4 linked regions of the Struthio camelus genome follow. The protein of the gene in region 2 binds, or shares a complex with, the protein of the main gene of each other region. Links are inferred from orthologs where the notes say so. Each region holds a gene or a part of one and is shown on either strand. Other genes may lie near its edges. The genes, in order: CBLL1, RBM15, WTAP and METTL3.

The links.
Region 1: RBM15 (region 2) and CBLL1 share a complex: the UniProt entries of both Homo sapiens proteins name them as parts of the WMM complex. The link is inferred for Struthio camelus from reciprocal best matches to the Homo sapiens genes RBM15 and CBLL1.
Region 3: RBM15 (region 2) and WTAP share a complex: the UniProt entries of both Homo sapiens proteins name them as parts of the WMM complex. The link is inferred for Struthio camelus from reciprocal best matches to the Homo sapiens genes RBM15 and WTAP.
Region 4: RBM15 (region 2) and METTL3 share a complex: the UniProt entries of both Homo sapiens proteins name them as parts of the WMM complex. The link is inferred for Struthio camelus from reciprocal best matches to the Homo sapiens genes RBM15 and METTL3.

What each region holds. Positions count from the first base shown.
Region 1 is NC_090942.1:16,396,019-16,403,887, forward strand, and holds the start of CBLL1 (E3 ubiquitin-protein ligase Hakai), read left to right. Parts: upstream 1-4,859; 5' UTR 4,860-5,224; coding exon 5,225-5,237; intron 5,238-5,934; exon of another isoform or gene 5,935-6,324; intron 6,325-6,740; exon of another isoform or gene 6,741-6,815; intron 6,816-7,869. Other genes in the region: SLC26A4 (pendrin), read left to right, coding at 797-820. UniProt on the Homo sapiens protein: E3 ubiquitin-protein ligase that mediates ubiquitination of several tyrosine-phosphorylated Src substrates, including CDH1, CTTN and DOK1. Targets CDH1 for endocytosis and degradation.
Region 2 is NC_090965.1:4,446,754-4,454,280, reverse strand, and holds the start of RBM15 (RNA-binding protein 15), read right to left. Parts: upstream 3,003-7,527; 5' UTR 2,919-3,002; coding exon 33-2,918; 3' UTR 1-32. UniProt on the Homo sapiens protein: RNA-binding protein that acts as a key regulator of N6-methyladenosine (m6A) methylation of RNAs, thereby regulating different processes, such as hematopoietic cell homeostasis, alternative splicing of mRNAs and X chromosome inactivation mediated by Xist RNA.
Region 3 is NC_090944.1:85,123,618-85,130,966, reverse strand, and holds the start of WTAP (pre-mRNA-splicing regulator WTAP), read left to right. Parts: upstream 1-4,346; 5' UTR 4,347-4,647; intron 4,648-5,171; exon of another isoform or gene 5,172-5,346; intron 5,347-7,349. UniProt on the Homo sapiens protein: Associated component of the WMM complex, a complex that mediates N6-methyladenosine (m6A) methylation of RNAs, a modification that plays a role in the efficiency of mRNA splicing and RNA processing.
Region 4 is NC_090970.1:84,330-92,053, forward strand, and holds the start of METTL3 (N6-adenosine-methyltransferase catalytic subunit), read right to left. Parts: upstream 3,009-7,724; 5' UTR 2,939-3,008; coding exon 2,845-2,938; intron 697-2,844; coding exon 434-696; intron 346-433; coding exon 1-345. Other genes in the region: SALL2 (sal-like protein 2), read right to left, coding at 3,688-3,954, 5,204-7,008. UniProt on the Homo sapiens protein: The METTL3-METTL14 heterodimer forms a N6-methyltransferase complex that methylates adenosine residues at the N(6) position of some RNAs and regulates various processes such as the circadian clock, differentiation of embryonic and hematopoietic stem cells, cortical neurogenesis, response to DNA damage, differentiation of T-cells and primary miRNA processing.

The sequences.
Region 1 (7,869 bases), on a different chromosome or scaffold from region 2:
GAAGTTGTGGCTGGGTAGAGGTTGTCAGCATCACCTTGTGTTGTGTTTTCTTCCACTGCGTGACATCTCCTAGGAAAACCTGACCAGGGAGGTCAGATTGGCCTGGGAGTCAGAGCAGTGAGAGGAAAAACTTAAGACCAAAGCAAAAGCCTCTTAAACTTCATCAGGGCTCGTTCAATAGATTGTGATATTTGGCACTCCTGATTTCAACCCCTCCTTTTTTTGTTTGGTATGAATATTGCAAGAGATCCAAATATTACTTTTTAGCACACACGAGACAAACACACTTCTTCCACTTCTCTGGTGAGTACTCTAAGCAACAGGTTATTGTGGGGAGAAGCACTTTCCACTCCTCTGGAAGCCACTGGGCAGAAAGGAGTGAAGGATTCACAAAGCTATGAAGATAAGCAGGCCAAAAGCCCTGGCTTCTGATTCCGATTCCCAAGAGAGCTTAGTTATTTACATTACAGAAAAATAAGGAAAAGAATGCTGGCACAAAACCACCAGTCCAAGGTCAAACCGTTCTGAGAGGTTTCCATCCTCCACCTTTATGGCCAGTTTTTTTGAAGGCAAGAGCTAGTACCTTTCAGATCTGCAAATTCCTGACCGAAGTGTCTGATGTAGGCTCCAGTTAGAGGGGGGCTGTTTCGAAGAGACCTTTTACAGTTACTTTATTTGTACTTTCATTGAGGCCAGGTTGGTAACTTGTACATAAATATTTTATTTTTCCAAGTGATTTGTACTCAGCACTAACCATTGTCCCTTTCTCTCCACCTTTTGAAAAACTTGTCAATAGGCTATGCGCAGACTCGCTTCATGAAGAACTGCTGGTACTGTCATACCTGTGAACTCACAGCAATATTTATGCACCGGTATTATAAAAACATTTTCTGCAATGAAACCAATCTTTGCACTTGAAGAAAACCCTGATTCCTTGTCTGAATGATGCAGATCTCTAGAAATCTCCACATTTGACTACCATTATCCCTGAAATACTCCAGACTGATTCAGTGAGCAAGTTCTGACCTGATACGTTGATAAAAAAAAATCTATTACAAAAGACTTAATCAGTTTTGGAACTAGTCAGGGGGAAGGTGCATCACACCGTCACTTCAGTGTGTTCAGGAAGAAAAGCTGCTTTGTGTTAACCTAGCCCAGGGGAGTTGAAGAGACTCAAATGTTTTGATCGGAGACCTCCTGTTATGTATTTGTACAACGCCTAGCAAGAGGACAGGAGTTCTAGCTGGCCAAGGCTTTGCAGTCCTAGAACGTTAAGGTGACCACACTTGCTGACAAAACTCTTGAAAAATGCACCTCAATAGTTCTTTCCAAGCAATTCCTTGAATTGCTGCAGGTTGTTAGATAAATGAAACACAGGACAAGTGACAAAGTCACACAAACACAAAACTGTGTGCTGCACTACTATAAAACAATAATTAGGATAAATTTCAATAGAAAAGGCCCTCGGATAGTGGTTCATTAGTTCTGCATTCATCCCATTGTAGTAAATCATGCACTCCTGTTAATGAAAAATTAACAAGTATAAAAAAATCAAAAAAATCAAGTATACGCATAAGATTATTTTGGCTAGGTTATGTATCTATAGCTGATCGAGAGGCAGATCATGACATAGATTAACGAAAACCTTATTCCACAAATACGTAATGAAATTTGTAGAATGGGCTGCTACAGAATATAAGTCAGAATGTGAGCTAGTATAAGGTTTTTTAATGAATTGTAGGAGTTTAGTTAGTTTAAGGAATAGCTATTTTTTTATATAGCATATATATTTTTTAATATACTACATCAAACAGCTGCTGTTCTTCTACAGGAAACATATAGACATTTGACAGTCCATAATGCTCAAGTGCAATAATTTACACAAGACACAGGATTCAAACTGCAAAATTTTAATCCTTGATTTTAGGACTATATAAAATACATATGCAAGAAATCAATGATCTTAACTTCATCATGAAGAAACTGGTTTCAATGGAAAACAGACTGCTACCTTAAATATTTTAGCACTATCTTAATTTTTAAAATGGAGAAAAACCTGTGTGGTGAGGGAATATGTAATACCAAAAGCTTAAGAAATACAGACTCTAAAACCCCTTTAAGCTTCACCATGTGGGCCAATTAGCTTTAGTACGTTCACATATTTAAGTCTCTTTATTCAAGTATGTCAGACAAATTTTCTTGTATCACACTGCACAGAGAAGACTGTTATGTTACTGCAGGTGATGTTAATGGAAAAATCTCAGGTGAAAAGCCGAGCACTAGGTAAGTTATTCTTCTCTAAGGACCGGAGTGAACTCTTTCAAAATCAGTGAAAAAAATTCCTATAAACTTCAGTCAGTTGACCAGGATCCTTCCACAATGGGAAACTGCACCAAAGACTGTCGTCTTCATTCTCTAAATAAGACAAAAACTTCAGCCTTCATGGCACTCGGCAAAGTTTCTCATTTCAAATGCAGTAAAGGTTTGATCCTACATGATATTGATGTTCTAGTTCAAACCAGCAAAAACGCAGGCCTGCGCTTAGAGTTAGGAACGAGCAATTCTTACGTCAGACAGGCTTCTCCACAAGCTGAGAGTTAGGTATGTGTTTAAGAGCCAAATCAGACCGACCTGCACCTCCTAAGATGGAAGCATTGATTAAACTTACACTAATGCTTAGGCTCAGGCTGTGATTTGACACTTCAGGCTTTTAGGAAATAATAGCAAACACTTCCTATCTTCATTCTCTCCCCCTCCATTTGCCAGCATAACTCAGGAGGTTGGTGCTTCTGCCAACATTACTGACAAACCTTTCATATTAGGCCATGGCCTCAGTTTATATTATCCTGCATACAAGCCACTGCTGCCAATGCACGTGAATGAAGGATAAGGCCAGTAGCATGTTTCTCAGAGGATGTATTGTTCCTCTAAAGTGGATGTACATTTTATGTAAAAAGCAAAAGGAAACATTCTGCTTGGGACTGGTAAAGGAGCTTTCTGCTATTTTTAGGCAGAACAAACACCGCAGAAAAAAGTGATATTAGAAAGATAGCAGTGAATGTTTTGTCCTTGAGAGAACATCTGCACTGTGAAGTTTGAGCACAGATTCTTACTTGACAAAAATGTGGGCACAGATTATTTTCGAACCTTCTCTAGTTCTTGCCCATATAGGTATTTAGAAAAAATACATATATATATATTTTCAACAGTCTTCTAGCTTTCTTTACAAATATGACATTTTAGCTGGAATTAGTTGTAATAAAATACAATGCAACGCACTTATTTTTGGCCTGCATATTTCTTCAAGGCAAGGTTGCATTTCTTAACTTTATTATTAAAAAATATTCACCTTTCCTGAATAATAGCATTTCATATAAAGCTTACACTTGCCCAAAACAATAAAGAGCAACATGCAGAAGGCATTCAGATGCCTTTTTCAGTGAGGCAGGGAATACGTGCCTTTTAACACTCTTATCTACATATCCATCAAAATGAAGAATACCAAAATAATAGGTTTTGTAATGAAGCTGAAATTCTGTACAATTTTGTACTAATTCAGACATCCATAAGTAATGCACAAGATATATGTGATTATCTTTTTCAGCTGAATGCAGAAGTGATATTTTTATCTGCACTTGTGATTACTACCATCTTTGCACGTCAAATATTAAATTGGAGACGTATTTGTTTTTTACCCTTTTAAAAAGGCTACATTTTAAAAGTCATTATGTCCATTAACTAGAAAATAAAGTTGTGCATACTGAAAAGTTTCTCCATGCATCTGTTCTGTTTTTAAAAACTGTTCTTTTTGTGAATTCATATTATGGTGAAATAAAGTGTATTATGTAGGGATAGGTTTCTCATTTCCCTTACATCTGCCACTTATTTTAGACAACCAGCAAAGTCTCTGTACCTTCTGGGGATAAGAGAAGATACAGTAGGCTTAAATCACAGCTTTTTAATGGTAAGGCTAATTTTAAGGTAATGAGAAGAGCTGTCTGCATGGACACAAAGTCACAACCCTGGAGATTCAGCAAGACAAGCAGTCATCAGTTTTAAGTGTCTGAAGTAGAGCTGTCCCCACCTTACAACTCTGGAAGGGTTAAGAGACTTAAGCTTTACGATCCCTTTAAGCCCTATAGACTATGATTTAGTTATTTTTATATTCCTCTCCTTTCTTCAGTGCTATAAACCTGTTCTATAGACAGTCTCCCCCTTAACTGGTCAGAAGTCACAAAAAGCTAAGTTTATGAAAATATCAGAACAGTCACAGAGCTCTAGTGCTATCAAGCTTTAGGATGCACTGGAGTTTGCTGCTCCCTTAAGTCACTAACTGTTTTGTTTGTCTGGTTGGTTTTTAAGTAATCCTGACTACGGGATTGCTCTGAGCGCAAGGAATTTGTCCCGTCTCTGGTAAGACTTAAGGCAGCTCATCAGCAGCTGACAGAGCCCAACGTGGCTTCAAGCCCGGCGACTCGCCCAGCTTCTTCAGAAACGGGCAGCAGGCGCGGCATGCCGCCGCGCCGCCCGCAGGCAGGGCGGCCGCAGCCCCCGCGCACAAAGCCCGGCCTCCTCCGTGCTGTTTCCCCCTCCTCCACGAAGGCGCACGTTCACGTCCGTGTTTCCAGGGCCTTTGGAAGCCCGCGCAGGGCAGCGAGCTGCGGCCTCAGGGGGGCCCAGGGCGGCGCGCAGCGCAGGCCGAGCCGCCCGCCGGCAGAGCGCGGCGCCTGAGCGGACCGCACGGAACCTCCCCGCCGCCCCGGGCAGCGCCAGGGCCGCGGCCGGAGCCGGGCGAGGGCCGCGCCGCCCCGGGAAAGCCCCGCGCAGGGCGGCCAGGCCCCTCTCCGCCAACCCGCCGCCATCCCCGCAGGCACCCCATGGCGCATGCGCAGCCCTACCAAGGTGTGGGGGGAGAACCTCGAGGCAGCAGGCCGCCAGCCGCTATCCCAGCGGGCGCTGCGGCAGCACGGCGCTCCCCCACCGCCTTCTCGCGGTGCCTGCTGGGAAAGAGAGGCGCCAGTTACGGCTCGGCGCCGCTTCGCCAGACCCCCGCCGCTTCGCCGCCGGCTCCGCCGCGCCCTCGGTGTCTCGCAGTCGCTCCGCAGAGACGCGCCGAGCGCTGCGCCGCGGACTTATCCCTAGAGCGCCCTTTTTCACGCCCGCCTCCCGGCAACTTCCGCTTCCGGCCCCACCCTTCCGCTCCCACAGTGCCCCGCGCCGAATCATGGACCACAATGGTGAGGAGGGGAGAGGCCGGGAGACCCATTTATACCCGTCCCCGACCGGGCCCGCTCCGCGCCGGCGGGCGGCGAGCGGCCGCGGTCGGGGCCGCCGGGCTGGGGGCGGTGCGAGGGTGGTGGGGACGCGGCCCGGCGCCCGGTAACGCGGGCGGGGCCTGAGGTTCGCCGCCGTTCGCCGCGGCCCGCGCGGCGGGGCCTGGTCGTTCCCTTCCGCGCCCGCCGCCGCCGCGGTCTCGCGCCCTCCAACGGTCCTGCGGCGCGCGCGGGGCTGCCCTGACCCCCCCCCCCCCAACCCGCGCGCGCGAGCGGCCCAACGGCCGCCTCGGCGGCGCCCCGTGGCCAGGGGAGGCGGGGGCGCTGGCCACGGCCCCGGCCGGCGAGCGGCGGCGGCCTCGGCGCAGCCTCGGGCTTGAGCGCGGCGGCCGCCGGGCGCCAGCGGGCCGTGTGGCCGGAGCCTGCGGGCTTGCAGCAGGTGGAGGCGGCCCGTGGCGCTCGGGAGGTGGGAAAGAGGCGCTCGTTTCCCGAGATCGGTGCCGATGATGTCTTTTCTGCTTCCCGGATCGCGCTCCGGAGATTCTCGGGCGTTTTCTTATGTCGCGCGTGAAATTTGTTCTTGTAGCGTTGATGTTTTGCTCGTTGGTATGCTGGCGTAATCTAATGAATACATAAGTAGATGACTTTTTTTTTTCCTTTAGGAATGACTGCGCTATAAGCACATATAGTATAGTATTCCAACTATATTTATAAATTAAAAAACAAAAGCTTAGAGTACAAAAAAAAGCTTCAGAGAAGCTGATGGAGACGACAACTTAAGAGAGTGTCTCACTTTTCATCGTATCTTCTCAAATAGTCTAAACAACTTTGCTACGTTTTTCATATTTTTTTCTTGACTTATTCCTGCTAGTTATGCTTACACGAACTTGAGGTTATCGTTCTCCTATGAAATAGGAATGACTAATACACTTGTTCGTTTGGATTAGTTGAGCAACTAAGTCACGTAAATATTCCTAGCTTGCAAAGGTATATGGAAGAGAAGTATCAGAACTCCATTTTCTCCTGTTTTTGGTTCAGTGGACTAAATGAGGTAAAAAAATTTCTGTTTTTAAAACTTATTTTAATTGTTCCCATTTGTAAAAGAATTGAAGTCCTGCAGAGACCTTTTTGGTCTCTAGTGTAGTGCCTTTGTGTGTTCAATTCAAGATTGTTTCCTCTCATTCTGCCCCAGTAGCACTGTTTGCCTTAGGTTTTCTGTTAGAGGACTAGTGATTAGTCTCAGAACTTTTGTAACAGAAAACAGAACTTCCAGCTCATGGAACGTCAACAGCTCTAGCATTATTGTCTCTGATGTTCTAGTCTAACTGCCTCTGGGTAAGCCTTGTATTTGAGTTGCATGTTTGCTGGATCATCTGTTTAGCCAACAGGATGGCCTAAACTCCCCCAAATTAACAAAAGTAAAAGCAAGCTTTATTGCCTTTGCTATTTTTACATTTTGCCTTTTAGATTGAAACGTGTCAACCACAGTACTAAGAAATAAATAGACTTGACCCAAAGAAAATTGGCGTTCTTGATTTTGAGGTAAAGTAACTGCTAGGGCGCAGTCCCAACTTGCAACTTGTCTCAGTTCCTAGTTTTGATATTAGCTGCTGAATGACTTTGAGCAAGTCCTCATTAACCTTTTTTTTTCTGTTTCTCCTTCTTCTTGTTGTGTTGTATATGGAGATTATAAGCTTTGAGGGACAGTAGTTGTTTATGTGAGGTATTGTGCAGTGTTACACTCCCTGGACCTAATTCCAGTGTCCAGATGCTTCCCTGTTGCAATGCTTTGGAGCCGCAGTAGTCATGCCAGAGCTGTAGTGCCGTATCTGAGGTTGAACAGTAGGGCTCACTCTATAATAGCTTGTGGCACTCTCCTTGGGGGCTGAGAAGGTCCCACTTTTAAACATTACCAGCTGATGCTAACCCCTCTCTTGACAGACCAGAAGTGACAAGGATGTTAAATATTTGTGTCCCTATCTTTCCAGCTACAAACATGGACAGGACTTGCACTGGAAATATTTTGCAAGGGGGACAAACCCAAAACCCAGCCCTCCAAAATGCCAAGACATGCAAGAGAGTTCCTAATGAAATTTTTGATTGCTTGTGTTTGAAAACATAAGTTTAGCTGCTGTGTTCCTGCTCATGGTCTTGCATGTCTGTCTATCCTGTAATGGATGTTGAGTTAAAGGCTTATAAATATGAGTCTAGTAATGATTTTATAGAAGTTTTATTTTTTATTACAAAGAGCTGATGGGCATGTACATTGATAGAATAGCGTGATGTGTCAATTTGTGAGACATCTTTTATGTTTGTATAAATGAGATGCTATATAGTGGGTTAAGGTAGACTTACTGAAAGTTGGGAAGGTGTGTGAATTGTACCCCTTCATGTTGTCTGAGTGTTGCCTGTTACAGTACTGACTCCTAGATTATGCATTCAGGCCCATATCTACACGTGTGTGTTGAACTGTTGCTTTCTTCCTTTGCCCTGGTACTCAGATTTAAAACTGGTTAAAGAGAATTCTGTATAGGAGGGAGTGCTAATTTTTAATTTAGCAAAGATATTACTGTGTACTGTAAGCATCAATATTTTT
Region 2 (7,527 bases):
GTAGGCAGGGTTGGGTACAGAACACAAGGGCCTTAGGATGCCCCACGGACAATGATCATGACCAGATAGTCGTCCTCTGATTTGGCCAGCGCCTTGGCCGTGGAGTCCAGGAATTGCTGGGAGAAGTCGCAGGGTGGAAAGGCGTGCAGGACCCCGCTGTTCTCCTTGTCTTTGTTGCCCCCCACAGGGAGGCTGATCACCCCAGCAGCCTGCTTTTGCTTTAGATAGGACACCAGATTCCTGAGCGGCCTCTGGGTGGAGGTGGTGGCAGCCTCGCTAGCTCCAGATGAGGAGCGGTTGTCTGATGTGCCAGGCACAGCCAAAAGGATGGCATACCCATTGGGACCTGCCACCTTGATGCGACGAGTGACCTCGTCTAGCTTGGGCTGGTCCAGACGAAGACGTTGTGTGATCTTGAGCTGACCTACTTTACCCCCAGTTGCTCCCTCCACGAGGAGACTGCTGGCAACGCTGAGGTCCCCCTGAAGCAGGTGCATATTGGACGGGAAGTTGCTGTTCTTCAGCAGAAGCATCCCCTGCCAAGCCAAGCACAACTTGGGGGCTCCCCCGGCCTGCGACGTTCCATCCTGCTGCTGCTTCTGAGGCGGAGGTTTGAGCCGCGACCCTCCACCGCCTCCTTCCGTAGCGCGTTCATCCTTTTTGGCTGGACTTTTGCACTCCTGCGCAGCAGCTGCTGCAGAAGCGCGATGCTTCCGCTCTCTTTCAGCGGAATTCTTGCGGTCGCGTTTTTCATTCTGGCCTCGCTCTAGGCTTCCCCTGCGCGATTCCCGGATAGGCGAGGGCCGCTCCAACAGGAGCAAACGGGAGGAAGAGCGTTCTGGGTCACTACTATAGCGCTCCCGCCCTCCGACAAGCTCAGGGCTGCGGTCTGGGGGAGAGGTTGTGGCTAAACAGTGACGCTTTCGGGACGAAGAAGAGCGCTCACTGTCCGGAGAACGGTCCAAGTGCCGGCCTCCATCCTCCGCCAGTCTCCGTTTCCTAGGCTGATCCCTACTGCTAGTGCCCAACTCCCTCTCCCCCCGGTCCCGCTCCAAGGACCAACCATCCCGACGGCGATCTAGGCTTTCCAGTGGGTCATAGGCAGCTGCCCGATTACTCCTATCCCGCACAGGGGGTGGCGGAGGCACCCACTCTGTCTCAGAATAAAGGTCTCTGTCGCGGTCTCTATAAAGCAACGGTGGTGTCCTGTCCCGAGCCCCCCGAAGAGGATCTGGCGGGGCCCCCCGGTGAGCCCCAAATGCAGCAGCCTCTGCCACTAGCTCATAATGAGCAGGAGGTGGCAACGGCAGAGGCTGCAGGTAGGGCTGCTGGTACCGATGCTCAGTGTCAGCAAAGTCTACGCGGAGTCGGCGATCCGGCCCACCCAAGGGAAAGCCACGCATATGGGTGCACGCTGCCTGTGCCGCGTCCAAGCTCTCATACTGGATATAGGCCCACGAATCCCCTTTGCGGTAATCAATAGTGCGAATGGTGCCAAAACGGTCAAATTCCCTGGCCAGGGCAGCAAGGGGCACCCAGGGCCCAAGGCCGCCCACCCAGAGCCTGGTAGTTGGAGTGGCTTTACCATACCCAATCTTGATGGGGTTGCGTAGAAGCACCTTTCCTGACATGGCCAACTTGGCCCGGTGCGCCATGTCCAGATTTTCAAATTTAAGAAAACCGTATGTGCTGGTCTGCCCACGGCCTGGCCTTTTGATGTCCACCTCAGTGATGACCCCAAAACGGTCAAAGGCTCGGCGTAAATCAGACTCGCTCACGGTGATGTCCAGGTTGCCCAGAAACAACGTGCGGTTGGCTCTCTGGTCGTCCTCGGGGCTGATCTCCTCCTCACCGGCTGCTCCGGCACCCCCTCCTCCTCCGCGGAAGCCCCCGGCAGCCGCCACACCGGCCACGCGCTCCAGCCCATAGGCCGGCCGCACTCGCGCTTCGTAGAAACCTCCGTAGTCCCTCTCCCTCTCCAATTCCCTGGGCAGAGGGGGCGGAGGCGGCAAGCGGCCCAGGGCGAGCTGCTGCAGCCGGTAGTCTCGATAACCCAGGGCTCCTCCGCTACTGGCGGGCGACAAGGCCCGCTGCGTTGCCCCAGCCGGGGGGTGCCGCACAGCGGCGGCTGCCGCGGCCGCCACTCCCACGGCCGTCGTGCCGTAGGGGGACTCCTTGTCCAGCAGCGCCGGGGAGCGGCTGCTGCGCCGCCGGCTGCTCCCTCCGCCACCCCCGACGTAGACAGCCTCGATTTTGAGCGGGCGGTCGTAGAGGACGAGGCGGCCGCGGGCGTGTTTGGCGGCGCGGGCATCCTCGGGCCGGCGGAAGTTGACGAAGGCCACGCGCTCGTCGGGGGCCCCGGTGCCCGGCGGGAGGCGGCTGATTTTGACGCTCACGTCGCCGAAGCGCTTGAACTCGTGGAAGAGCCCGTCCTCCACCGCCTCGTCGCTCAGCGCCGAGCCCAGCTCGCTGATCTTCAGCGTCTTGTACTCCCCGCCGGCACCCGGCTCGGAGGAGGAGGAGGAGGAGGACGGGGCCGCCGCCGGCACCCGGGACTCACCCCCGCCGCCGCGGCTGCTGCTGCTCCGCGATGGCTCCGCCGCTTTGCTGCTGCTGCTGTAGCCGTGCCGGCTGCCCCCGCCGCCGCCCGCCGCCGCCGCCCCGGCCTCGTACTCGCGGCTGCCGGCGCGGCCGGCCTTGTCCGGGTGCGGGCCGCGCCGGCTGCTCCCGCTGTTGCTCTCGGTGGAGGCCGCCGCCGCCGCCGCTTTCCCGCCGCTGCCGTTGGAGCCGCCGGAGCCGCTCGGCTTCTTGCCGCTCCGCTCGCCCCGCGCCGACGAGGAGGAGGACGCCGAGTCCTCGCCGCCGCCGCCGCCCCGCGACCGCTTGGCTTTAGCCGGCGAGCGCTCCTTGCCCTTCATGGCGGCCGGCCCCGCGGCGCCCCCCGCCCGGCCCTGCTCCCCGCCGCCGGCCTCACTGACTGACTGACCCGCCGCGCTCACGCACCCGCCGCCATCTTGGAAGCCGCCGCGGCTACGAGCCCCGCCCCCCCGGCGCCCATTGGCCGCTTAACGCGGGCCCGCCGCCCTCGTTGGCCGGCGCGCGCGTCACCCCCACCCCCCGCCCCCTCCGCGCGCGGCGGGCGCTCGCGCTGCCAGGGCTGGCTGGCGGAAGACCCGCCCGTTCCCCCCTCTGTGCCCATTCCGATTGGCCGAGCGAGCTGTCTTTCTCCGGGCCGGCCTCGCGCGCTGCGGGAGGAGGGCGCGGAAGGAGCCGCCCCGCTCGCACTTCTTCCCGCCCCGTTTGCTTAGTGGACGGTTAGAACGAGAACGGCCTTCTCATTGGTCGGGCTGCCATGTCAATCATAACCGTTCCACGGTAGGGGACCGCCCCCGCTCTTTGGCCATTGGGCTAGCTCAACTCGTCTTTCCGATTGGCTCGCCGGCCTGCCACTTGCAACGGTCCTGGCTGTGGCCCCTCCTCGCCGCTTCCCATTGGTTCGCTGGCTGAGACGCGGGCTCCCATCGTCCCTCTCAAATTCTCGCGAGCTGTATTAACCCCGCCCTCTGTCCTCATTGGCCACTGGTAACCTTTCCTTTGCTGCTCTGATAGGCTGAAGCCTATGCCTCTCCCGAAGAAGCGCGGGCTGCTACCCAAGCTTCACCCTTCGTTTATGATTGGGCGAGAAAATCTCCCCAGGCATCTGATTGGGTGCAGCCGCGTAGCTTGCGGATAGGGTAAGGAAGCGGTCAGTCACGCTTGCTCTGACTCTGATTGGTTGCAGCGAGGGAGGGGGTGGTTCCCCAGGAGCGTTCGCCGTGCGGCTGCTGGGGCGAGCTCAGAGCGCGCCGGGCCGGGGCGCGCGGTGGGGGGAGGGGCGCTGGTCTCTTCTGCTTTCCTCAGGCCGGGCGGTGCGTCAACGGCTGGGGCGCGGGGGCCAAAAGGAAAGCACAAAAAGAAAGAAAAGCCGGACCAGCCAGTATTCCCACATTTACAATTTTTCTGTCACAGAAGACGTTATTTATATTAAGGGAATTCCAGTCACCGTCCAACCGAAGCGGCTCTAACCCCGCTGACCGGGCTCCCGCTCGCTGCGTGACACCGCGTGGGCCTGGACACCTCCCGCTCCCGCCCGAGCCTCCCCTTGGCCTCTGCGTCGGAAATAAAGACTCAGATTCCCCGGGGGGAGAAAGGCGTAGGGCGGCGGGCCCTGCCGCCCCCAAGGGAAGAGCTACCCCTGCCTCCCGCTGGCCCTGCGGCCGCCCGCCCCCCAACCCGAAGTTCGCACCCCCTCCGCAGCCCCGCGGCGTTTCGATTCCTTTCTTTTGGCTGCCCTCAAAATGCTCGGTTTGGAAATTCGGAAACGTCCGAGAAAAACGCAAACCTGCAAGCGCGCTCGGAAGAACTTGGTTTAACCCGGCACTGCTACGGCCCCCCCGAGCCACGTTTACTGTCTGAAAAGTCCCCGCATCTCCGTGTCACCCGTGGAAACAAGAGAGCTCCCCAGGAGCAGCTTAATCCAACAGAAGGGGAATTGAATCTGATTTTTTAATAGCAGGCCATTAGACTGCATTTCTCCCTGTCATATCATCGCTTTCTGACAGAGATGGTACACAGCAGTTCCTGAAACCGTGGGTGGGTTTTAAATGGTGGGTAAATAGCTGCTCTCTAAATATAGACCGAGGAATGAGAAAAATTGTGTTTGAAATATATGTCGGGCTCCTGAAAATGAGATTCTCCCATGCAACGACAGGGAGTTAACCTAACATGCGTATCCGAGACGGGCCTGCTTGGCTCATGTGGATATAATTATCCTGAAAGTATATGGAAGACAGATACAATTATGTGGCTGCGGATCACCCAGATAACAGCGATCCGAAGGAATGCCAAAGAGGCCTAGAGTCACAGGCGCAGAGCGGTACCGGGTGTCTTAGAAACACAGCATCATCCACGACTCTGCCAAACGGGCTTATTGCAACCACTGCTCGTGTCTGATTCAAGCTGCTTTCCTGGGAAGACACAACCGAGTGAAAGTGCTCTGGCGGGGTTTCTTTTTCCCTCCCCTTAGAAAAAAATAAAATGCTATTCCATCTGGGTGTTAACATTTTGCAGCAACGTCTCAGTTCCAATGCCAGGGCTGTCGGAGAGGTTGCTGGAGCTCAGGGTGGGATCAGTTTAGAAGGGCGACCTGGCCGCAACCTGCTTCGGGGAGCAGAAGCTCCCAGTTAAAACAACCAAAAAAAAAAAATCCCACCACGTCGGTGTGCATCAGATGCATCCACAGCCAGTGCAAATACCCCTCGCAGCCAGCTCTCCCTCTGGGTTTCCTGTGGTTTCCGTCGGAGAATCACAGAGGCACCAAGGAGCCTCGCTCCTTGGCCAGCCTTTTTTGGAGGCGAGATGAAAACGGGAGGAAACCTACCTTACCTTATTTCAGCTTCATCTTTGAGGTTACATCTGGTAAAAACTGGAACCGTTCCACTGGCTTGAGAGGAAAAGCGTCACGTTAAACAGTTAATGATAAAGACTTGTAACTCCCCAGACTCTGCCAAGGTCCTAACCACTTCCTTGTGGTGCCTCAGTTTGTGTGTGAAACACAGAAATTAAAATTCCTCGGCTGATGACTCATAGTTTAAAAGACACCTTGGGTGAGCAATAGGACACATCACCAAAGGGACATCTGTCTGTCATTTAATCTGATTTCAGCCCTTCTTCCAATCTGCTCCTTCAAAGGGGGGAATCTTCTCCTGGATTCTTCCGCCGCTGCGTCAGCCGCGGTCAGAGATAGATCTCTGCAACAGGCAACTGGTCACTGACAGTTCGGCAGGACTGAGGCATTTCAGAGCGGGTTTTGGCACTGGAGAAAGGAAACGCAGCACCTGAAAAGAGCCCTGGAAAAGAGCACGTTTTGTCAGGCCATGAGAAAGAATACAGCGTGAGCAGGAATCTCCCCCCAGGCCCAGACTAGATAAAGAGTACTGTCTGTGTTTATATATGTGTATAAATAATTAAGGTGCCAGATGGCCCTTGAGCCCATGGCCTAGATATAAGCATCTAATTACATTTGGTGTCAATGGGAGTTGGGCATGCAAGTACCTTTGAGGACTTGGCCTGATCCTGGGTAATACTTGCATGTTGCAGAACCAAAGAAACTTGCCGTTTTCTGCAAAAGCCTTTCTCTAGCAGTTTAACTATATGTCTCCTTTTCAAAGTCTGGATTGAGAAGATCTTAGAGGAACAGGTCAACTTGACCTAGGAGGAGAGGCAAAGAGGGCTCCTTGCCTCGATCCCAAACCAGCTCCGAGTGCCACTGATTGACACTGGCAAAAGACTTGTGAGCGCCTCAACCGGGGAGGTGTTTGTTTGGCCTCCGCAGTTTGGTATTCAAGCAGGCTAACTTTCTTCCTGGAGGAGCACTTGCGTCCCAGCTGGCCATTAGAGACATCAAAATACATTAGCTTCACTTAGGCGAGGCCACAAGAGCGCTCCAGGGACGCGAGCTGCCGGCTCAGAAGTGAGCTGTCTTGCACTCTGACCTGAACGCTGCGCAGGGGAGGCGAAAGCTTCCCCTGGTTAGTCACTGCAATTCTCGCAGCGATCTCTGCAATGGCCCGGATCTAGCACTCGCAAGCAGAAAAAGCTGGAGAACATCCACCCTGCGGGATCCTGGTGAGGTTTGGCAGCGATCCGCAAGGCAGCTCCCAGCACCTCGAGGAAAGCAGGGAGGGAGCCGGTTTCTTTCTGCAGCTGAGCAAGAGGTGGCTGGGACGTGCCGGCACTCTCACCGGGAGGCAGTGTCAGAGGACTGGGTTGAATTCAAGAGTCCTCAGCCAGTCTGGTCTCCTGGATCAGCTCTTCTCCTATTACACTCACATGGTGACAGTCCCTCTAGACATGCAGTGTCAACCACCAGGAATTTCTCTGGGTTTTATCCCTCGCTTGTCCTGGAGGGGTCAGGCACGAACTGGTCCCGCTGCCTGTTTGTTCTTCTGGGTACCAGGAGCACATCCCTGTGCAGATCAGGGATCAGCGTCCTTGCGCTTCACACCGAGGTCAATCAGGAGTGACTCTGCTTGAGTTAACCGGTAGCTAAAGCCAGGCTCCCTTCCTCCCTGCTCACGCTCAGTTCAGCACCATCCCAAAGGCTCTAGGGATGACTTTTGCAGCAGTTCCCCAGGCAAGGCGGTCCCTTCACCCCTTCCCTCCCACATACCTTTTTTGCGAGCATCCTTGTCAGCATCCCACTCTGCCAGCACCACCTGGGTCCCCCAGCAGAGGATCTCAGACCGTCGGAGGTGGCTGCCTCCCTTCCCCTCCCTCCACCCCCGGACTCCCCAGTCTCCTGCTCCCAGGACCTCATCGCAGCCCCAATCTCAGGCTGCAGCCTGTCCCGGGGCTAACCCCTCTCCTACCCCAGCAGGGTCAGGCAGGCAGCCCCCAGGCCCAAGCCCCGTTGCCGGCAGAGGGCAGCGGCAGCCCACTAATTGCTGGGGCCTGATCCGGCCCCTCCACCTGCAGCCCTGGCCAGAG
Region 3 (7,349 bases), on a different chromosome or scaffold from region 2:
TCACAGGTGTACAGTGTCATCACATGTGCTGCAGTCTTGGAGACAAGTGTTGTAAATCTATTTGGCTCTGTAGATAGTAGAGTTGCACATGATTATACTATTGATTTTATATGCTCTCATGAGCACCTATGTATATTTATAAACAGTTATCGGTAATTAAAAGAGGAGTCTTTATGGGAGCTGTCTGAAGAAAATCTAGCTACCTCTCGCTTTAGAAATGGAACAAAAATGTGCAATAATTCCAGTAAGATGCTTAGAAATGTCTTGTCAGATGATGTAAAGAAAGCCTGCAGCCTACTAGTTAGAAAGCTTTTTTTTTTTTTTTTTGGAGAGCGAGAGTGCATTGAACTTAAAATTGGGCTTGTTGCTGTCCAGATTTTCACGTGGTAGTTACCCGAAGGATATCTCTGTCATTTTTTTCAGTACAGCAATCCATATATTTTATTTGCCCACCGCATCTGTAGGCTACAGCAGCCTTTTCCAGTGCCCTTGGAGCTCAGTTTCTGTTCCAGTTGCAAACCACTATTTTGCCTTCCTCCATCTTACATCCGTACAAGTCAAGGACTATCTTTTCAGAAGCTGATTAGCCTTTAGTTCCTTTTATTTTAAGATCTTTTAAAATGCTAACAAATGTTCATAACAGTACTCCAAACATTTTTTTCTTCTGAACAGTTTTTTATCTGACTTTATTTCTTACTAATATCCTAGCTTTTCTGATCTGCAGACTGTAGTTGTCATCTCTTACAATTTATTTTATGTGACTTTTATGCTATTAAATATTTGTCCTTAAAGCCCTGTTTCCCATGACATAGTATTTCATCCACATCTCAACTTTGAATCATGAAAATGCAGGGGAAAAATAGCCCTTATGATCCTGTAGAAAAGCTTGGAGGCCTGAAACAAATTTGTCTTTAAGGCTCACACAGCCTAAGACAGTAGAGAGTATTAAAATTCAGTGCGTTTGTATTTCAAACAGTTGTGTGATTTCTAATCTGGCTTGAGGGTTTAGAGATATAATGCATGAATTCTGGTTACTTCACGCTAGTGGTACTGTCTTGATCTTGCTTGGGTTGGGACCATCCTGTTGTAAAGCCGTCCGAGATAAGCAATGGCAAGAAAACTGTGCTGCCTGCAAAGCTCAGCAGCTCCTCCTCTGACTCCTTACAAAGCTTCATAGCCACAACACATACCAAGTGCTTCAGTTAAAACAGGGCTTCAGCTCTGCCAACTGTGTGTCAGCTGCTGGCTACCCAAAGAACTTGGGACATCCAGTAAGCACAGGAGAGGGCAGTATTAGTCCAAGTGAAGGCATGAAGAGGACAAACTATTAACAGAAAAAATAAGCCAAAATGTAATAAAGAGCATTTTTTCCGAGTTTAAAACTATTCTGTCACTGACATCTTTTTTTTTTTTTTTTTTTTTTTTTTTACATTTATGGAGTGTTTTAATGTTTTGTTCCAACTGGCTGTAACATGAAACAAGAAATCAAGAACAGAGCAGGTAAGAACCATTACAAGCCACAAGCCTTCCAGCAGGAAAATAATTAGGTTAGTGAACTACATGTTGTCTTTTGAAGAACCTAAAACCAGATGAGACAATATGAACAGATCTGAAACAAAACCAAAAACTCTATTGTTATTAGTATCTGCTGAGCAGGCCCTAGACTTGAAAACAGAGCTAGAAAAAGTGTGGAAAGTTATGGAGGAATACAGGGGTGTTACTCTAATGCCAAATGGCATTCTTGTCAATACAGTTTTCTTCTTTCTTTAATCCAATTTTATATCAAAGTCAAATGTAGAAGAGAGTCCGCAACAATAAAATACAATTCCTATGATCTCTTCTTAAACAATAGGAGATACAAATACAATATGCTTTGTGGAAGTACAGTGGTTATTTTCATCTTAAATGCATTTATTTCTCGTGTTTAATTTATGGAAAGCTGTATTGTCCAGGTGTTCATAATCTGGTTCATATTTCAACTTAGCAGTATATATATTTGTTGTGCTATTTTCTGAATTCTGTTTTTTCACTGGTTTTCGGACAGATATGCTTATTTGCCCTCTCATTTGTGGACAAGCAATGCTATTAAGAGCTGTGTTAGTACCTATTATTTGAAAAGGAAATTTATTCCGGTTATTATATTGTCACATAACCCAATGCAGGTGCTTATTAAGGTGTTTATTCTAGGAGCATTAAAATATACCAACTGAGACAGTTCTCATTGTGTTAGGTGCCGTGCAAGCAGAATAAGAGACTATTTCAGTGAAATGTGCTCTATCAGGGTACTAGTTAACAATTTGCTGTTTGTATTTTCTCACATAAAAATTTTAAGTATAGCTGATAATACACATGGTAATTCTAAGGGCTAGAAGGAAGGCCAGAATATAAAGCTCTACAGTCTGTATCCACTTATCTCTTGGTGTTTCTGGCTCTGTGCCGTTTGCTCAGCTAGTACGTTTCCCATAAATGTAATCTACACTTGTAAAACTAAATTTAAAATAACTAAGTGCTGACAAGGGAAAAGAATGCAGGATTATTTTCTACATGCTTATGACCTGGAAGAACAACAGGTACCAATGGTAAGTGTAAGGTCCGGTATCTCTTGACCCATCAGAGTTAGAACTTTACATATACTGTTAAAGATTAAAGACTGAAGAGAGATCCATTTTCCCAACATAACAAAAAAGTAGCTAAACTCTAGCCTTGGCAAATGTTGGGAGATCTTGTGTTCAATTTGTGATACCTAGAAAACATTAGGTAATTTATATACAGAATAGAAATGGCCTTAAGTACATCTCTGTATCTCTTTTGTATGTAAAAAAGTTTCCGTTTCTTGTCCTACTTGGCTTACGTGCATTTTAGTGTTGTAATGTTTACATTTGTGCATGAGCAAATAAAATCAATTTTCTACATTAATGTTCGCAGTAAGGACTATTCTGGTATATTGACACCTCTCCCATGCTGCTGTCTCTTGAGATGGCTTTATCTGTTAATTAGTGTCTTTAGTGCTTAAAAGAAGTACCTGCAAGGTGTCTGTGTACAAAAAAACAGTGAAAGGAGCAGTGAACCTCAAACTGTAATCACAGTGCGTATTTTTCACGTAAAAAAATAAGACTTCAGAGGAACGTACTCAAGCCCTTTTGATTTCACTCTCCTTGTGGTAATTAGTCACATCATTCTCTTTTTTTAATTTCAAGCGACAACAGTCAGGTCACTTAAAGCTTGGTCAGGGTGTTAATTTTTTTTTCAGCGAGAGCTTTTTTTTTTTTTTTAAATCTGTGCTGTGTGGATCTGCACCTCTGTACACTGGAATCTCTTGTGCAGTGAATATATTATTCTTGCTATCAGTAGCACAGTCAAGAAGACAGATTTCTGGAGTGTCTTCCACAGAAATTCAGTTGCAATCAATCACATCGTGCAACCCAGCTGACACTAATTTAGCCTACAGAAGCTTTATTACTTTGTTGGCAAGAAGGGAACACATCTAATTGTGCTAATAGCATTGCTTGAGAAATCATGGATAACAAGACAGAAATTCGATTTTAAAGTAGTTGTTCAGTGCTAGACTACAATTAAGGGCAATCAGTATGTTTCATTCTATTTTTTCCCCAAATGTTAAAGCTAAAGTTTAGCGTATTTGGAAACAGCTAGGATTTTTTTTCCCTCATTTGCTGACTGATGACGTTAATGTGCGCTTATGCCACTGAGGTGAATTTAACTGAGTGAAAATTTTCATTGCACAACGTGAAAGACAGGCAGAAAGCCGCGGAACTAATGCTGACAAGCAAGGTGCCCATCTTGCAGACTAACCACTGGCTGTGCCTGGCTGTGCGCAATCCTCGTTTTCAAAAGCCGCTGTCTTTTCAGCGTGTCTTCCAAGAAGGCGCCAAGCAGCGCTCCCACGGCGCCGCCCAGAAGGAGCAGCCCCGCGGCAGCAGCTCCCTGTCGGCCCTGGCGGACGCCCTGTTTCACGCGTGAGGCCGCGGGGAGGCGCTCGGTGCCGCTGCCCTCAGCCCTCGCGCCGGCAGGCGGCCGCTTCCCCCCGCCTGGCCCGCCCCCAGGATGCCCCGCGGCTCGCTACCCGCCGCGCGCCCGCCCCTCCCTTCTGCCCGTTTAACTGACAGGCTTTAAATCAACATTCAAATAAGGAGGGAAACCGCGGCGCGGGGACGGAAGGAGCATCTCAGTGCTGCCTGCCGCTGGGGAGAGAGCGGGGGACGAGCTCCCCAAAGGAGGCGCGGCGGCGGCCGGCAGAGCCGGACCGGGCGGCTCGGCCACCCCGCGGCCCGGGCCACTGCGGCGGCTCGCGCCGCGCGGGGCTGCGCGCGCAGCGCCGCCGCCTGAACGTGGGGGGCGGCCGGTGGGCGGGGCGGCTGGGCGCTCATTTCCTCCTTGGGCGCCATTTTGTAGCGCAGAGAATCCGCAAATAAAGAGCGGGCGGGAGCGGTACGTGAGGAAGCGCGGGGTGGGGGCACGCGGTGGTGACCCCGGCTCCGGAGCAGTGGTCCCGGTAGAGCCGGTTGCGGGCGCGCGCGCGGAGGTGGCGGCAGGTGTGAGGAGGTGGCGGCGCTTCGCCCCCGATGTGACGGGTGCGGCCCAGGCAACCAGTGTGCTGGGAGAGTGAGGCCTCCGCACCGCGGGCGGGAGGTGAGTGACCGCGCGAGCGCTCCTCCCCTCGGCCGGGCTCCCCCTTTCTCTGGTACCGCCGCCCTTCTCCCCCGCAGGAGGTAGCGGGGCCCTCGGCAGGGACCGAGCACCTCGCGGTCCCGGGGCGACCAACCCCGGCGGCTCCATCTCTCACCCCAAGTGGGGGGAGGAGCGGAAGCACTTAGAGCCATTTTGTGCGAGGCCGCGAGCCCGGCCTGGCTGCTCCGCTGAGATCCTCCTCCCCTAGCCTTCGGCTCCGCCACGCCCGGGCGCCGCCGCCGCCGCCGGGGCTCCCTCTGGGCGAGGGAGACGCGTTTTTTCTTTTTTTCCTTTTTTCTTTTTTTCCCCCCCTTCAGTTGAAGCTGAACGAGGACGGCCCGACGGGGCGGGTAGTGCCTGCCCTGCCAGAAGGGGGGAGGGGAAGGGGGTGGCAGGGTCTGTCAAACGTCTGTGACGAGCCGTGGGGTCAGTGGCCTGCAGCTGCGCCTGGCCGGGGACTGGCGGGGTCTCCGCGCAGGAGGCGGGGCTGCGCGGCAGCGGCCCGCCGTTGGGTTGGGAGGGGGTGCGGCCGCAGGACTCGGCTACGCGAGGCTCCTGACCGCGGTCGCTGAGGCTAGCGTGGAAACTTTCATAGGCCGGCATCTTACTCTGAACCTTTTTGTTTCGGGACACTTGAAGGCCTCGAGGGCTTTTCCCACGGTATGCTTTTTCATATCGTTGAAATAACTAGGAGTTACTTCAACTGTTGCTAGTAAAGCAGCACTTGAGTTATGTCTGGTATTACTTGATTGCCTTGTCTCTTAGCTCGTAGTGCTTGTTTTAATCTTTAAACTTTATGTTTTCTAAATGTTGTAGTAAAAGTTGCACAGAAAACTACAGTTTCTGAAATTAAAACGCACTTTCCCTGTTTCAGCCCTTTCATAGTTCAATTACTTTAGAGATTACAGGAGAATTCTTTTAGTGTCTATGATGGCCCCTTTTTAAGGGTGAAACACAGGTTTATATTGCTTATTGCCAGGAACGGATGTAGAAGTTGTGGAGTTTAACAGGTATCACTGCTCTGAAATCCTGAAAGTGCCTACTGAGGATAGCACAGGCTAAATTATTCATTGTATTAATTGAGAAGTGTAATCATGATAATTCCAGTCAGAAAATGGCAGTTCATCCTATTCTTGCAAAATATTACTGAACTGCTTAGCACAAGGGTCATCTGTCTTTCAGAGTAGGCACGTGGTGAGATGCATCTCTTGCTGCACAGCACTCCACATTACTCTATTAGACTCAATGAATGAATGTTTGAGTTGTAATAATATTGTTAATGTCTGTTGCATAACTTATCTGGTAAGCACAGAAAGAACTGAAGCAAATCACTGTGACAGCTAAGTGATACAGTAAGCCTGATGTTCTGATGCTTCCAAAAACACTGAGCACAGTGATAGAAATACAACCTATAGCAATAATGAACTCTTAAGCTGTTTGTAAGTTACTGTGGGTGCCAAAAAAAAAGCTGTTGCGTAGGAGTCATGAGGTGAAACTTGCACATACAAAAAGAACATGATCACTTAGCTGTCATAGTAAGAAGTTCAGATGTGATAAACCTAGGTTTCCAAAATAATACCTTACTAAAAATTTTCAGGGTATTTTTTAGTGAACAATTCTAGTCCTACAAGTGAAAGCAGGTGACAGTAAAACAATAACTTATGTAATGCAGTGGACTTTTTATCTTCAGCATGTGCATTAAAGGATTTTATCAGATAGCAGGGAGATGGCTTTGTTTTGTAAGTGGGAACGTGTTGGGCCTAGAGGTTAGAAGGGTAGTCTGGTTTGGTGCTGCCATGAGAAAACTGGTTGTGGGAGTCTTATGCTAGGTCTGGAGACGGGCAATAAGGATGGAGCATCAGCTTTTAATTTCTTTCGGTTGCTGTTGCAGTGGCACTCAAGTGTTTAGTTTGCTGTATACTGCTGAAGGGTTCACAAGCCAAGTCTTTGGAAAATTCATCTTTTTTGATACCTGTGTGTTCCTACTGTTTTTCTGACACATGATAATATCTGTTAGGTATGATTTAATCTAAGTGTATTTCCATGGGACATTTGAAAGGCAGATCTCTCTGTTAAGGACTTGAATCCTGCTGAAATCTTCAAAACTCCTTCCAAATACTGAAGGAGTTAAGTGTCTGAAAATCTTTAAGAAAATTGTAATGGGGAAGTAGGCCATTAAATTTAGGGGGCTGTGAGCATTTCCCCATATGATCTTAGTCATCCAAAATATCAGTTTAACTTGAGTTGAGCATCATTGGTTTGTATCGATAGTCTCTAATACATTTCATATTGCATTTAGTAAAAGTATAAAAGTCTTAAGTGGGAAGCTGCATCCAGAAGTTAAAGTTCTCTCATGTGTGAGAGAGTTGATGGTGGGGGGCCCTAGACCTCTTAGAGTAGAGAATCACTGAAGTGCCTGTGTGTTATGAAGATTAGGAACAGGAAGCTGACATTGGTCATAGATGCCTGTATTGAGTGTTATTAGCAACTTTTCTGTTCGTTCTAATGTCCCCCTTTACTTTATGAAGGGCTTGGAAGCCATTTCACCTGTGCACTGTAGGTGTTTAGTTGTTATTGTAGTTTTATTTGGTATAGTGCTATATACTGAATGTTAATATAGGTTGAAGGAGCTGTTGTTCACTTGGTATGCATTTATCTTTTTG
Region 4 (7,724 bases), on a different chromosome or scaffold from region 2:
CTTCTTGCTCTGCTGCTCCTTGGTGGACTGCTGGCTGAGCAAGCTCTCGATCTCCCGGTCGACGTCGGAGGCCTGCTTGCGCCACTTCTTAGCCGGTTCCTTGCCGGTTTCGGCGGCGGGGGCGGCGGGGGCGGCGGAGCCGTCGGCGGCGTCGGCTTGGGGCCGCCGCTTGCGTTCGGCCACGGCGCCGGTCATGGCCGAGAGCTTGGCGTGGTCGGCGTAGGTGACGAGGGTGGGTTGAGCGGCTTCCTCGTGCAGCAGCCCGCGGCGCACCTCGATGAGCTCCTGGGCGGCGAATTTCTGCAGCAGGCTCTCCACGCTGCGCTGCGCGGCCGGCGCGTCGGGCTGCGGGGCGAGACAGAGCGGGCGTTGAGAGCGGCGGCGGCGGCGGGAAATCCGGCAAGGGGGCCGGAGGAGGAGGAGGCGGCCGTACCGTGGCGATGGCGCGGCAGATGGCCAGCGCGTCGGTGGGCAGCGGCAGCGCCAGGTCGGCCAGGTGCCGCAGCAGCCGCCGCTCCAGCGCCGGGTCGGTGGTCAGCTCGGCCGCTCCGCCGCCGCCGGCCGCCGCTCCTGCTCCTCCTCCTCCTCCGCCGGCCGCTCCTCCGACACCTCCGGCCGCCGCCGCCGCGGGGGCGACGGGGGCCGGGCTGGCGCTGCGGGACGGAGGGGCCAGCGCCAGCTCCGGGTGACGGGGGTCTGGGGGCCGAGGGGGGTCGGGATCGGAGGGACGAGGCTCCTTCCTCCTCCTCCCACCCCCCCCTCCACCGCCCTGGCACCCTCTGACCCCTCCTGACGTCCCTTGACCCCCTCCTGACGCCCCTTGACCCCCTCCCGATGCCCTCTGACCCCTCCCGACACCCCCTGACCTCCTCCTGGTGCCCCTGGACCCCCTCCCGATGCCCTCTGACCCCTCCCGACACCCCCTGACCTCCTCCTGGTGCCCCTGACCCCTCCCGATGCCCCTTGACCACCTCCCGATGCCCTCTGACCCCCTCCCGATGCCCTCTGACCCCCTCCCGATGCCCTCTGACCCCTCCCGATGCCCTCTGACCCCCTCCTGGCACCCTCTGACCCCTCCCGACACCCCCTGACCTCCTCCTGGTGCCCCTTGACCCCCTCCCGATGCCCTCTGACCCCCTCCTGATGCCCTCTGACCCCCTCCTGATGCCCCTTGACCCCTCCCGACGCCCCCTGACCCCCTCCCGACGCCCTCTGACCCCTCCCGACGCCCCTGGACCCCTCCCGACGCCCCCTGACCCCCTCCCGACGCCCCCTGACCCCCTCCCGACGCCCCCTGACCCCTCCTGATGCCCCCTGACCCCCTCCCGACGCCCCCTGACCCCTCCTGATGCCCCCTGACCCCCTCCTGGTGCCCTCTGACCCCCTCCCAGCACCCTCTGACCCCCTCCTGATGCCCCTTGACCCTTCCCAACACTCCTTGACCCCTCCTGGTGCCCCTGGACCCCCTCCTGGTGCCCCTGGACCCCCTCCTGACGCCCCCTGACCCCTCCCGACGCCCCCTGACCCCTCCTGGTGCCCCTGGACCCCCTCCCGACGCCCCCTGACCCCCTCCCGACGCCCCCTGACCCCCTCCTGGTGCCCTCTGACCCCCTCCCGGCACCCTCTGACCCCCTCCTGATGCCCCTTGACCCTTCCCAACACTCCTTGACCCCTCCTGGTGCCCCTGGACCCCCTCCTGGTGCCCCTGGACCCCCTCCCGACGCCCTCTGACCCCTCCCGACGCCCCCGACCCCTCCTGGTGTCCCTGGACCCCCTCCCGACGCCCCCTGACCCCTCCCGACGCCCCCTGACCCCCTCCCGACGCCCCTTGACCCCTCCCGATGCCCCTTGACCCCCTCCCGATGCACCCTGACCCCTCCCGATGCACCCTGACCCCTCCCGACGCCCTCTGACCCCTCCCGACGCCCCTTGACCCCTCCCGACGCCCCCTGACCCCCTCCTGGTGCCCTCTGACCCCCTCCTGACGCCCCTTGACCCTTCCCAACACCCCTTGACCCCTCCTGATGCCCCCTGACCCCCTCCTGGTGCCCCTGGACCCCCTCCTGGTGCCCTCTGATCCCCTCCCGACGCCCCCTGACCCCCTCCTGGTACCCTCTGACCCCCTCCCGGCACCCTCTGACCCCCTCCCGACGCCCCTTGACCCCTCCTGATGCCCCCTGACCCCCTCCTGGTGCCCTCTGACCCCCTCCCGGCACCCTCTGACCCCCTCCTGATGCCCCTTGACCCTTCCCAACACTCCTTGACCCCTCCTGGTGCCCCTGGACCCCCTCCTGGTGCCCCTGGACCCCCTCCCGACGCCCTCTGACCCCTCCCGACGCCCCCGACCCCTCCTGGTGCCCCTGGACCCCCTCCCGACACCCCCTGACCCCTCCCGACGCCCCCTGACCCCTCCCGACGCCCCCTGACCCCCTCCCGACGCCCTCTGACCCCTCCCGATGCCCCTTGACCCCCTCCCGATGCACCCTGACCCCTCCCGATGCACCCTGACCCCTCCCGACGCCCTCTGACCCCTCCCGACGCCCCTTGACCCCTCCCGACGCCCCCTGACCCCCTCCTGGTGCCCTCTGACCCCCTCCTGACGCCCCTTGACCCTTCCCAACACCCCTTGACCCTTCCCAACACCCCTTGACCCCTCCTGGTGCCCCTGGACCCCCTCCTGGTGCCCTCTGATCCCCTCCCGACGCCCCCTGACCCCTCCTGGCACCCCTTGACCCCTCCCGATGCCCCTTGACCCCCTCGCGATGCCCCTTGACCCCTCCCGACGCCCCCTGACCCCTCCCGACGCCCTCTGACCCCCTCCCGGCGCCCCCCCCCGCCCCGCACCGAGCGGGTCCTGCTTCCGCCGCCGCTGGAGCCGCTCCCGCAGCGAGTCCAGCTGCTTCTTGTGCGCCTGGATCGAGCTCCACGTGTCCGACATGGCGCTGGCGGCTGCGGCTGCGGCTCCGCTCCCGGCCCCGGCCCCGGCCCCGCTCCCGGCCCCGCCGCCGCCGCCGCCGAACCGGAAGCGGGGCGGAGCGGCGCCCGCTAGGCCGCGCCCTGAAGCCGCGCGCGCCATCTTGGCTGCGGGCACGGCGGCCAGCAGAACGCCGCGCGGGAGGAGGGAGGGGGGGGGACGGTGTCCTAGCAACGGGCGGCGCCGCCCTCACGGCGAAGCCGCGCGCGCCATCTTGGCTGCGGGCACGGCGGCCAGCAGAACGCCGCGCGGGAGGAGGGAGGAGGGGGGACGGTGTCCTAGCAACGGGCGGCGCCGCCCTCACGGCGAAGCCGCGCGCGCCATCTTGGCCGCGGGCGCGCGCGGCCATCTTAGCGGCGGGCGGCGCCCTGGCAACGGCGCGCGGCCATCTTTGTTGCGGGCGGGGCCGCCATCTTACGCCCTGGCAGAGGGCGTTGTTGGGGGGGGGGAGAGGCGGGAGAACCCCCCCCACCCCCCAAAATAACCCATTTTCCTCCCCAAAATACGACGCCGCCTCCTCCCTCCCAAAACAAGAAGCGGAGACGAGTCACCGTGAAGGGCTTTAATGGAGGAGGCTACGCTGGGGTTGGGGGAAAGGAGGAAGACGGAGGAGGGGGGTCAAGATGGCGGCGAGGGGAGGCGAAGGGGGCGCCCTGTGCGCTACAGTCGAGGCGAAACTAGGATTAAAAGATAAAAAGGGACCCGTCGAGGCGCTACTTCTCGGCCGGGCCTTGCCCCGAAGCCGCCGGGGGGTCGGCGGGGGCCGGGGGGCCGGGTCGGGGGCGGCCGGCGGCCGCGAAGGCGCCGTACTGGCTCCAGAAGGAGAGGGCCGGCGGCGGCGGCGGCGGCGGCGGTGGTGGCGGTGGGGGCAGCTCCGGCGGTTTGCCGGCCCCACGGCTCGGCGGCGTCGGCGGCGGTTGGGGGCCCGGCGCGGGGCGGGGGGCGCGGGCCGCCGGGCCGCCGCTCCAGCATGGCGGCACCTGTTGGGGGGGCGGTGGGGGTTGGGGGGGGAAGAGCAAGGAGGCGAGGGAGGAGGTGGTTGGGGGGAAGAAGCGGCGTCCCGAACGTCCCCGTCGGACTGGGAACGTCCCCGTGGACCGAGAACGTCCCCATGGACCACCAGTGTCCCTAGAGAGGGACCATGAGCGTCCCCATGGACCGGGAATGTCCCCATGGACCAGGAACGTCCCTAGAGAGGGACCACGAGCGTCCCCATGGACCAGGAACGTCCCCATGGACCACCAGCGTCCCTAGAGAGGGACCATGAGTGTTCCCATGGACCGAGAACATCCCCATGGACCACCAGCGTCCCTAGAGAGGGACCATGAGCGTCCCCATGGACCAGGAACGTCTCTATGGACCAGGAACGTCCCTAGAGAGGGACCATGAGTGTCCCCATGGACTAGGAACGTCCCCATGGACCACCAGCGTCCCTAGAGAGGGACCATGAGCGTCCCCATGGACCAGGAATGTCTCTATGGACCAGGAGCATCCCTAGAGAGGGACCATGAGTGTTCCCATGGACCGGGAAGGTCCCCATGGACCACCAGCATCCCTAGAGAGGGACCATGGGCATTCCTATGGACCGGGAACATCCTTAGGGACTAGGAAAGTCCCCATGGTCTGGGACCATCCCTATGGACCAGGAAGGTCCCCATGGACCACCAGCATCCCTAGGGATGAGTGTCCCCAGGGACCGGGAACGTCCCCATGGACTGGGAACATCCCTATGGACCGGGAAGGTCCCCATGGACCACCAGCATCCCTAGGGATGAGCGTCCCCAGGGACCGGGAACATCCCCATGGACTGGGAACATCCCTATGGACTGGGAAGGTCCCCATGGACCACCAGCATCCCTAGGGATGAGTGTCCCCAGGGACCGGGAACGTCCCCATGGACTGGGAACATCCCTATGGACCGGGAAGGTCCCTATGGACCACCAGCATCCCTAGGGAGGGACCATGAGCGTCCCTATGGATGGGGAATGTCCCTATGGACCACCAGCATCCCTAGGGAGGGACCATGAGCGTCCCTATGGACCAGGAACGTCCTTAGGGACCACCAGCATCCCTATGAAGGGACCAGGAACGTTCCTATGGACCAGAAGTGTCCCTAGGGAGCACCAGCATCCCTACAGAGGGACCAGGAGTGTCCTTAGGGCCTGGGAACGTCCCTAGGGAGCACCAGCATCCCTACGGAGGGACTGGGAGCGTCCCTAGGGACCTTACCTGCCCCTGCTTCTTCGGCGCGGCCCCGTCAGGAGCGCCGTCCTCGGCCGGGCTGGCCCGCGGCTCCTCCGGCTGCGCGTCGTCCCCTCGGCGCGCTCCACCTTCCTCCACCTGGGGCTCGCCGGCTCCCTCCGAGGCCGGCGGCGCAGGGCTGCCGGCCGGGCGGCGAGGAGCGCCGCCTTCCTCATCCTCCTCCTCATCCTCCTCCTCTTCCACCACCACCTCCTCCTCCTCGTCCTCCTCGTCCTCCTCCTCCTCGGCTGGGGCCTTCTCGGAGTCATCCTCCTCGGAGGCGTCCTCCTCAGAGGCGTCCTCCTCCTCGTCTTCGTCGTCGTCGTCGTCGTCCTCCTCCTCCTCCTCGTCCTCGGAGGACTCGTGGGGCCGGCGGGCGGGCGGCGGGCCACCGTTGGCCACCTGCCCGCCCAGGTGCAGGCGGACGTGGTGCTGGAGGCCCGGGCCGTCGGCCAACTTCTTCTGGCAGATGGGGCAGGAGGTTCGGGGCCGAGCGGCGGCGGCGGCGGTGGGGCTGGCTCGGTGGGCGGCCGAATGAGCCCGCAAGTTGCCGCGGGTGGAGAAAGCCCGGCCGCAGGCCTGGCAGCGGAAAGGGCGCTCGGCGCTGGCGCCGCTGGCGTGCTGCCCTGCGTGCAGCCGCAGCGCCCGGGGGCAGCTCAGCACCCGGCGGCACACGGGGCACTGGTTGGAAGAGGACGGCGGCGGCGGCGGCGGCGGTGGCGGCGGTGGCGGCGGCGGGGCGGCCGCTGCCGCCGTCCCCGGCGTCTCTGTTGGGTCGATCTTCTCCACCAGCTGCTGCAGCTTGGAGGTCTCGGAGGGGGCCGGCGGCTCCAGGAGGAAGGGGAAGGCGGCGGCGTGGTGGTGGTGGTGGTGGTGGTGGTGGTGGTGGTGGTGGCCGCCCTTGAAGTGGTTGGCCAAGACGGCCCAGGCGGGCAGCTTGCCCGGCGGCGTGTTTTCGTCCCCCTTGGCCTTCTCCTCGGCCGCCTTCAGCAGCACCAGCTTGTTGAAGCCCGGCAAGGGTTGGGGCAGCAGCGGGAGGCCCTCGGTGGCCACCACCGGTGGTGGCGGCGGCACCGGTGGCGGCACCGGTGGTGGCACCGGCGGCGGCTTCTCGCCGGCTTCGCTCTTCTCCGGCGGCGGGCAGCGAGGTCCGGCCAGGAGGTAGTCGAGATGCTCGGGCACGGGGTGGGGGTTCATCTGGACGTGGGGGTAGCGGTCGCGGTGGCGGTGGAAGTGCACCTTGAGGTTGCCGCGGGTGGTGAAGCGGTTGCCGCAGACGTTGCACTTGTAGGGCCGCTCGCCGGTGTGGGAGCGCAGGTGGATCTGCAGGGCGCTGTCGCTGCCGAAGGCCTTGGCGCAGAAGCGGCACCGGTGCCGCCCGCCCGGCTTCTCCTCCGCCTCGTTCTTGGGACGCAACAAACCCGGGAAGGCCGGCGGCGGCGGCGGCGGCGCCGGGAAGGCGGCCGCTTCGGCTTTGGCCCCCCACGGGCGGTAGAGGTGGAAGAAGGTGGGTTTAGGTGGGGGGCCGGACGCCGGGGCCCGCGGCGGTTGGGTTTTGGCGGCGGCGAAGAGGGTCGGGGTGGCCCGAGGTGGGGCCGGGGCGCCCAACAGCAGGACTTGGCGGCAGATCTCCTCCGTGAGCTGCAGCTGGTGGAGCTGCCGCTGCTGCAGCACCCGCAGCTCCTCCAGCAGCAGCGGGATGTCCAGCGGCGGCGGCGGCGGCTCCGCGTCCATCGGCGGCGGCTCCGAGGAGGAGGAGGAGGAGGAAGGAGCGGCGGTGGCGGCCGGGGAACCTGCAGGGCGAGAGGGGCCGGGATTTGGCGCCGTCCCACCCCGAAATGCACTGGCCCCACAGAGGGGGATCAGGGGAGGGTTTTCCTGCCCCGGATGGATGGATGGATGGATGGATGGATGGATGGATGGATGCACCATGGGGTGGGCAAGGACACAGACACGGATGGATGGACGGATGGATGGATGGATGGATGCACCATGGGGTGGGCAAGGACACAGACACGGATGGATGGACGGACGGAGAGACCCGGAGACGGAGGGGAGGAGGGACAGATGTGGGGACGGAGGGACGGATGGACGGACACATGGATGGAAGGACGGACACGGGGATGGAGGGACGGATGGACGGACACATGGACGGATGGATGGACATGGGGACAGAGGGATGGACGGACGGGGGATGGAGGGATGGATGGACGGACACATGGACGGATGGACGGACACATGGATGGATGGACGGACACGGGGATGGAGGGATGGATGGACACAGGGATGGAGGGATGGATGGACGGACACGGGGATGGATGGACAGACACGGGGACAGAGGGATGGATGGACACGGGGATGGAGGGACGGATGGACGGACATGGGGACAGAGGGATGGATGGACACGGGGATGAAGGGATGGATGGACACGGAGATGGAGGGACGGATGGATGGACACATGGACGGATGGACAGACATGGGGACAGAGGGATGGATGGATATGCAGATG